Drosophila melanogaster: one gene and its partner. The protein of the gene in region 1 interacts with the protein of each later gene in a pairwise test. Each region holds a gene or a part of one and is shown on either strand. Other genes may lie near its edges.

What was found.
Region 2: the proteins of CG9689 (region 1) and CG14424 interact in a two-hybrid assay, tested with the Drosophila melanogaster proteins (one large-scale study listed by BioGRID).

What each region holds. Positions count from the first base shown.
Region 1 is NC_004354.4:9,879,800-9,884,315, forward strand, and holds CG9689 (uncharacterized protein), read left to right. Parts: upstream 1-2,153; 5' UTR 2,154-2,228; coding exon 2,229-2,750; 3' UTR 2,751-2,953; intron 2,954-3,016; 3' UTR 3,017-3,871; downstream 3,872-4,516. Other genes in the region: CG9686 (uncharacterized protein), read left to right, coding at 151-639.
Region 2 is NC_004354.4:2,925,126-2,929,083, reverse strand, and holds CG14424 (uncharacterized protein), read left to right. Parts: upstream 1-1,825; 5' UTR 1,826-1,914; coding exon 1,915-1,975; intron 1,976-2,304; coding exon 2,305-3,035; 3' UTR 3,036-3,200; downstream 3,201-3,958.

The DNA of each region.
Region 1 (4,516 bases):
AAGAAAATGCGAAGCAAGTGACACACAAAGGCGACGGCGATACGAATAAAATGGGTGGAAATCGAAGCGCCCCAGGTCAGTCCAGTATCAGTGGAGTCAACGTTCAGTCTGGTTTTTGTGGATAAAGCCAAAGGAACCGAATATATCAAGATGAATAGCTTGCAAGGATCGCTGGTCCTCCTGCTGCTCGCCGGAGTTTTTCTTCAAAGTCAGGCGGGTCTCTTCGATTGCGAGGACAAGATACCCGGACTTGGAGATGTGAGCGATAAGATATCGGAGATTACGGGCAGCAGTAGCAGTTCGGAGCACGAGGTGCGCGACTTCTTCAAGAACGTGGGATGCCACATCAAGGAGGGAGCCAAGAAGCTGGGCGAGAAGGCCAAGGACTTGGGCACGGAACTCAAAGAGGGCGCCCAGAAGCTGGGCGAGAAGGCCAAGGTCCTGGGTAGCGATCTCAAGGATCGCTTCGATGACTTCCGCGACAAGCTGGCCAAGGATTCCGCCGAGGAGATGAGCAAGGATCGCGGCTTTCTGGCCAACGTGGAGATTATCAATCCGGACATCCTCAAGGGCGAGCAGCAGTGTGGGCATGGACACATTCTGGATGCCTTGGGCAACTGCAGCAAATTGAGGAAATAGTCCCCAAAGAGTCCTACCCCCTCCCGTTAACACTTAAGTTTTTTTATGAGTTTTTTTTTTTTATGTGTAAATAAAAATGGACAGTAAAAATACAAATGTGGAAAAGTCCCTATTTCTTGGTATGTGAATTTTTAGTGTTTTAAACAAAGTATTGGAAATAATACTCCAAATAAGTTGTGCCATATTGCGTTGAGTAATTAATGCAATACCCAATCGAAATTTAATTTTCTGAGATATTTGATAAGTTTTTGGGCTATAACTAAAAAAATAATAGTCCAAATGTGGAACTAAATACCTCGTTGAGTTCGTCATTAAATTTCCAATCAAACTGTATTAAAAAAATGATATTCAAATTTTTTTCCATTTTATGCAAATTTTGATGATGTTACCCCTTACAAAAAATGAGAAAATTGACCCAAAAATTAATTTTCCTAAATTCTTCAAAAAGTGATATTTATCGTTAGCACTGGTAATTAGCTGCTCAAAACAGTTATTCTTACATCTATATGAGCATTTTTAGCCTAGTTATGACGAAAATTCCGTTTGTAAATATCAACTTCTTGGCAAAATCCGTTTTTCCGAATTTCGGTCTTCAGAAACAGTTTTTTTGCCATAACTTTAAAAATAATTGTCTGAATATGGAATGCCATATATCATTGTGCTCGTAATTAAATTTCCAATCAAACTGCGTTTAAATATGGAAATAAAATTTTTTTGCCATTTTTTGCAAATTTTGATGATGTTACCCCTTACAAAAAATGCAAAAATTGGCCGAAAAATTAATTTTCCTAAATTCTTCAAAAAGTGATAGGGATCGTTAGCACTGGTAATTAGCTGCTCAAAACAGTTATTCTTACATATATATGAGCATTTTTAGCCAAGTTATGACGAAAATTCCGTTTGTATATATCAAGTTTTTGGCAAAAGCCGTGTTTCCGAGTTTTGGTCATCAAATAATCAGTTATTTACATATTCTTTCATCTTTATGAGCATTTTCAGCCAAGTTATTACGAAAATACCATTTGTAAATCAGTTTATTCTTTGGCTATTAGCTATTTAAACGACAAAAAAGCGTTAGTATCGAATTTTTTCCAATAGTCGTTTTCTGATGTCCCACCATTGAGGCATTCGCTTTTTCACCATAACAACGAAAACAATGGTCCAGCTGCATTAAACCGGGTGTTCTTTTAAAAGTTTAGTTGAGATGCCGTGTGTAAGTTGAACTTGATGGATTAGTCACCTTTACAATTGCAATAAGTAGCCGTAAATATTTCTCTTTTCCCATTTTTTCTCTATTACATTCTGGAGAATTCTCCGGCTCTCCGCTACCTCCCGCCTTTTACATTTCCCAAGTCTCATTTTTTCTAGGCCTCTCTCTTCGCTCGCCGAAAATGCATTTCTGTTGCCCGACGACTTTCTCGCCGAGCTTCGTAGCTCGAAAACCCAATGGCGCAGCCCAAAAGCCACAAGATACCCAAGAACTTGGTCAAGTGGCTACGACTGCGGCTGCAAACGGGTTTCAGTCGATTGTGGGGCCTCAGAGGCGATACACGATATTCAAGATTTGAGATTCGAGATCCACAATTGCGATGACTAATTCATTGACCATCGCCGTCTTTTTGGCCAGCCTGTGCCTCTTTGCCAGTTGTGGTCAAATGCAGGCAGCCTCCATTGTCTGCGGATCGGAGGCTAAGTCTGCAGAGGATGGTGATTCGGTGACCACTCCCAGTACCAGTGAGGTCAACAAATTCGTCCACAGCCTGCAATGCACTCTGGAGAAGGCCAAGCCCTGGATAGCCAATATCGAGAAGGAGGCCAAGATCTTGGAGGAGAAGGCCAGGGATGCCACCATATCGCTCTTCCAGCGCATAAATAAACTGGTCAATGTGCTCGCCTCACCGGTTAAATTCGAAAAGGATAAGGAAAAGGATAAGGATGAGCAGAAGGAACCGGAGGAGGTCACCACCACGACCACCCCTTCCACATCGGAGGCTTCGAGTTCCTCCAAAAACGATCTTAAGGAGGAACTAACCACTTCTGCGCCGCCAGTTCACTTGGACTGGCTGGAGGATCATGCCAATGAGGTGGACTACATTCCAGAGAAGAATTAGTGAAGCACTTAGTTAAGCACTATGCTAATATATATGTATACTAATTAATAAATTATGTTGCTCTTTATTCGATGAGCCTTTCCTATTTATGAATTTACAGCATTTAATTTAATATATTTTTATATAATCTATTTTGTAAAATATCAAATGTAAAATGTACGAACTCGTTTGCTGATTCATCATTGCAACTGGTATACATATGGGTAAGTTCAAGTATACAACACATTTCATATATTATTATTTCTAATACATCTTTTTGTTTGCAGAATTCACTTTCGAAATGATTTAAATAGATCAAATCTAAAGGGTCAATGTGTTTGTAGTTCAAGTCCGGTGTTTACAAAAGAAATCTTGAATTTAGCATAACTGGAACCCAAAAACTTGTTGTGACTACAGAGCCAATTGGGTTTAAGTTCTTAATGAACCGCTTCCTCCGCTTTGGTGACTCACTTCACTTGATTGTGATTCTTTCCCGACTTTCTCTTCTGGACTTTTCTTGCCACTGTGGTTATTGGCCAAAAATAAACAAACAGCCTGCTAACTGAAGCCCTGCAACTCCGGCATAACTTGTGAGCCGGTTTTGGTCTCAACGGATCAGTGAATCAGTGAATCATCCCAGCGACAGGAGTCTCATTGGGCCGATCTCACTGGATGGGCTTCAATTGCTAATTGCCAGTCGTCGGGAAAGATGCAGCTTCTGGGCACCAGCGGACTACTGATAATCATCGTCATCATCTCCCTGTCATTGCCAATTATCCAGGGGATGGTCTGGTCGGGATTTATATGCTCTGCAAGGGATCATCGCGGCTGCTGCTACAATTGGGTATACCCCACACGTCCCAGGCCGCCATGTGCCCCCCAAAGAAGTCGGAATTCGGGTCAAAAGAATGGGACACCCAAATGAGTAATTCGAGCTCTACAAGCACAAGAAATAATATATATTTTTTAAATTATTATAAAAACAAAACAATGCACTTTAAAGGCCTAACACCACAAAGAATAAATTTCACAGCGCTAACGGACTCACAGTATAAATTGCAACTGTAGTCAGATATATTATAAGCAAATATTTTTTTGTAGCGTGAATAAAGAAATAATGATCTTATAATTATCTATATCTGAAATGAAATGATTGTTTTTCTTTCACAACTTATCTGTAACATGGGAAAGTAAATTGGGGTGCAAATAATATTAAATTGAGCGTTGGTTGACAACATTTGATAGTTGTTTGATATATAAAAACGCTTCCGTAGCTTTGTTCATTTAAGTTGATTATCCATCAATTTCGCGTAAAATTTGTATAAACAATAAGTAAACATTTAATGGAGCACACTTTTCACACAGAAAGCCAGAATGTAAGCGAATAAATTGAAATAAACATATCATTCACGTTATTCATCAATAATTTTCTATAAATTTAAATTAAAATTGCAACAATTTTTTTTAATTGAATTCAAAACAAGCTTTATGAATTATTTATAATAATTACCCGTTAATCGCAAGTTTTTTTGTTGATTAAGACTATTATTTAATAATCATAGATATAAATATTCTAATAAATAGACAAAAAACGTTCGAAGCTCAAAGTAATGAAATTCATTTTAACAAGCTAAGAAAACACTATAGATTTTTTTTTAATTTTTTATGTTTTAAGATAAACATTATATAGTTGATCTTTTCAGGGCCTTTAAAAACATCTATCTACTTTCTCGCAGTGCAGTAAAGCTTACATTACAAAAAAGCTAGAGCAGCTCGCATTGAGTGAG
Region 2 (3,958 bases), 7.0 Mb from region 1:
TTTTCATCGAATGTGGATCAGTGTGCTAATTTTTGGGAATATTTCTTAGACGCGCTCCAAAAATAGAACTTTCCCTACAACAGTAACTTTCCAAAATATGTTGACCCCGCAAATGATTGGGTGAGATGTGCTGACCCCGCCATGGGGGCAACTTTCTTTGCCATATACATAGCTAGAAACCACACACTTTGCTAATGAGTATTTACGATCTTTTTATGCATTTCCATTAGCATCAAATAACTTGGCTGGGATCTCTTTTGCTCGCCCAGCTCTTCGAGCTTATGAATACATTGCGTTCTTTTTCGCATAATTTGGTTATTAAAACATTTGTTTATGTCGCCCATAATGGGCGGCAAATATGTTTTCCTTTTTTTTTCCCCCAGTCCGCCCTTGTCATTAGAAAGAACTGCCAACGGTAGCTGTGGAAAATTTAAATAATTGCCGCGGCAATAACATAAATTAGATAAACCATCGGAGAGGCTGGCAAAAAAAACATGGAGTTCGAAAAAAATACAGCACATAAATTAATCATACCACCCGTGGTCAGTGGCCCAAATTCGGAATTGAGTAGGGCTGAGGAAATCGATTGGTCTCCAATTTCAGCCACTATTGAAGGCATTCAATTAACATTTAATATCGGGAATAGCTCGATGTACCCGCTCTGTGAAAATTATTGTTCTTTACAATTGTTTTGCAAGCCGAAAATAATGGTAATATTTGAAGGAAAATGCAAAAGCAATTGCAATTTATTTTAATTCAGATAGTTGTTTCTTACGATCTTGCATTATTTTGCAGGCGGACTGTGATTTAAATTTAAAGTTCTCTATAGCAAAACTCTTTTGGCCAATACATTTACACTTTTACAGCCAATTTTTAGGCGCATTTTAAATGCTATTTTCAAAATAGCTTTAATTTTGCATAGGTCCTAAACAAAAGGAAGATTATTGATTTAAATTAGCCAACAATAGAAGAACACAAAAAAGAGAGCAGACACTCATAAATTCCATAAAACCATAATCCGTCATGCCATTATTTCGCGCAGCTTATCACTAATAGTTCGATAGATTAGCCACTTAATCTCTGGCACTAAGTTGAGCCTGCTTTCAATGCAGAGAATGGCGGAGAAAAGAATAAATTTCGCACTATGGACTCGATCCACTTGATTGATTTAAATGCTCGTTCCTCGATCCGAATGGGGAACACATGCTGGCTGGCCAAAGAATATCTTTGTATATGGCTATATGGCAGACAGGCAGGCAAATGAATGTGGCCCAAATAAGCCTCGAACTCTGACATCTGCGGGGAAGAACAGTGAGACCTCGCCCACTTCGGACATTGACAAATGGAAACGGTTTGACTTATTGAAAATCTCACTTTTGACCTCAAAATTGGCTCAAGAATTCGCCAGACGGTTTTTGTATTTTTCCGTATTTCTCCAGGCGACCCAAAATGCAAATTTCTCGATTTTGGTAAAGAGTCAAATGCAACTGGAAATGGAAATGTAGCCACCAGAAGTCAACGTTCTGCGATCTCTGGGATGTTAGGAGTTTTTGGGTTCTCTGCTTTTTGGGTTTTCTATTACTGGTTTTTGTGCATAAATCAGTCGACGGACATTTGCATAGTTTAATAATTTGCCAATCGTCCAAGTCCCCACCAATTTCGCTACATTTTACTTTGTTCTGCTGCCTGGCCACCTAATTTCTTTTGTTTTTCGTGTGATTTTTATGTGTCTACGCTGTTTTGCCTGCTTTTCGCCGGCCAGGTGAATGTTCCTTCCCTGTATAAAATGTCTTTGCCGGGCACTTGATGGACCATTTAATAGAGGCCCTCGTCCAGCGACAGACCCAAGCCCAAGTCCAAGTCCAAGTCCACATCAAATCCAAGTTCACAAGAAGATCCCATATATACATCATTATGGCAATTAAGTTGGTAGCCCTTTTGACCATCGGACTGGCAATCTTTGCCGCGTGCGAAGGTGAGTTGGTTGGTGATTTAGGAGACGAAAAATAATCTTTGATGAATTATGTTCGCTTTTCCAATATCCATCAGTATCATACATTCTCTTCGAAATCATAATTAAGTGACGGTTATTAATTAATAAATTGCTTTCATAGTTTTTGAGAAACAAGCAATTTTCATAGTTCTTTGTTAATAATGACAGACTTTTGTTGAAGTGCATTGACTTTTTTTTAATATGTGTTCCTAATATACGATGATATTAAAAGCTAAACTAGTTCGTCAGGGCGAATTTAAACCATTTCTGCCAACCCTATTTCCTAACCCCATGTCTTTGTATCCCATTAGCCCGCCATGTGAGCGGACACCATCGCAGGCAGCATTTTGAGCAGCGTGCCCTCATAGCGAAGCCCCACAGTGGTCCCCAGGGACGAGTCTTCCCCGGTGCCGTGGCCATTAAGAAGCTGGTTCTGCTTAAGTTCAAGAAGATCGTGCCCATCTCTCTGATCCTGCTGAAGTCAAGCAACGAGAACGAGGCCGAGCTGGTGCCCGTCTATCCCACCGATCAGATTCCCGAGAACGTTCAGTTCATCCCGACACCCAATGGAATTTCCGGTCACAAGGATGTCCAGGCCATCGCCATTCCTGCCGAGCTGCACGACCAGCTGCAGATCAACGGTCTGTCCAACCTGGAGAACATCGAGGCTCTGCTGCAGAGCAGCTCGATCTCGGCTGCCGACAATGAAGGCGAGGCCCCCGTGGGCAACAGCATTGCCGTAGCCCAGCCCGAGGATGTGGTACTGGAGCAGCCAGAGAACGATGAGGATCAGCTGTTAGACGGAGCCGCTCCAGTCGCCGCTCCTGTAGCCGTCGCTCCCGCCGCCCTGCGCCGCCTATCCGCCGACGAGCTGCTCCGCTCCGGCGTGCGCAACTCTGCCCAGCAGCAGCAGACCAGCGTGGAGGAGATACCCCTGCTTCTGTACTCCGCCAACGAGGGCTCCTCCTCCGCCGGAAACTCGGGACGTCGCTTTGTGGCCGCCGCTCCGGCACAGCGCCGTCGCCAGCAGTTCTACAACTAGGATCCTTTAATTTAAACAAGCAACCTATCCAAACTTCCACATTCCTTCTCTCGATGGCTGTCACACGGGCTTCACTGTACTAGGTGTACTTACACTACCACTGGCTATTCTACATTTTTTTTTTAGACTGAACTGAATATAAATTAACGTTATGAGCGAAATGACAAAAGAAGGGACTTGTGCTTCCGGGTGGCGAAGGGTCTTCAGTGGGCCCTGGGGTAAAAAGGCCACACTTGGATAAATTGGGGGTCAAAGAAGAACCTTTAAAAAGAAAAAAGTTGTCTCAATGGTAAACCAACCAATTTATTACAACAAAAAGCACTGGTTTTAAAAGGTTCAATTAATCTAAGTTTTATGTTTATAAACATTTAAATATCCACCCCTTTTTCGAGTGTCGCCAAGTAGATGGGCAGATCCTTGTTTGGGGCGCTGCTTATCAGGCGACTGCAGTTATCAGGCCTTTGTGCTCGGGCTTTGTGCCGCTGACGTGACAAGTCCTGTCTGTGTCTCGTTTCGTACTCGGCCTCGTCCTCGACTTTATCCTCATCCCCATCCTCAGTTTCAGTCTCAGTCTCAGTTTCGGTTTCGGTGTCCCGATCCCAGTCCAAATCGCAGTCCCAAAGAGTCCTCGTGTGGCAGCCTGCCAGCAATTTTGAGCCAACAAACAAAGCGGCCACAAAACACATGGCACAAATTTTGCTTAGGCGCAAAAGTCAACGGCACACGAGGCGCAAAGAAAGGCAGCCGCACAACAAAAGCGCCACAAAGATGGGACACGTTAACCTGCCATTCTAATGTGAAACCACGAATAGAGAATGTCCTTAAACATATGCCAAAAATGAACTAAATCTGCCGGAAATAGGAAACTAGAACATACTATGAACAACTATGAAATCCCATAGTTTGGTTTACAAAATTAGAAA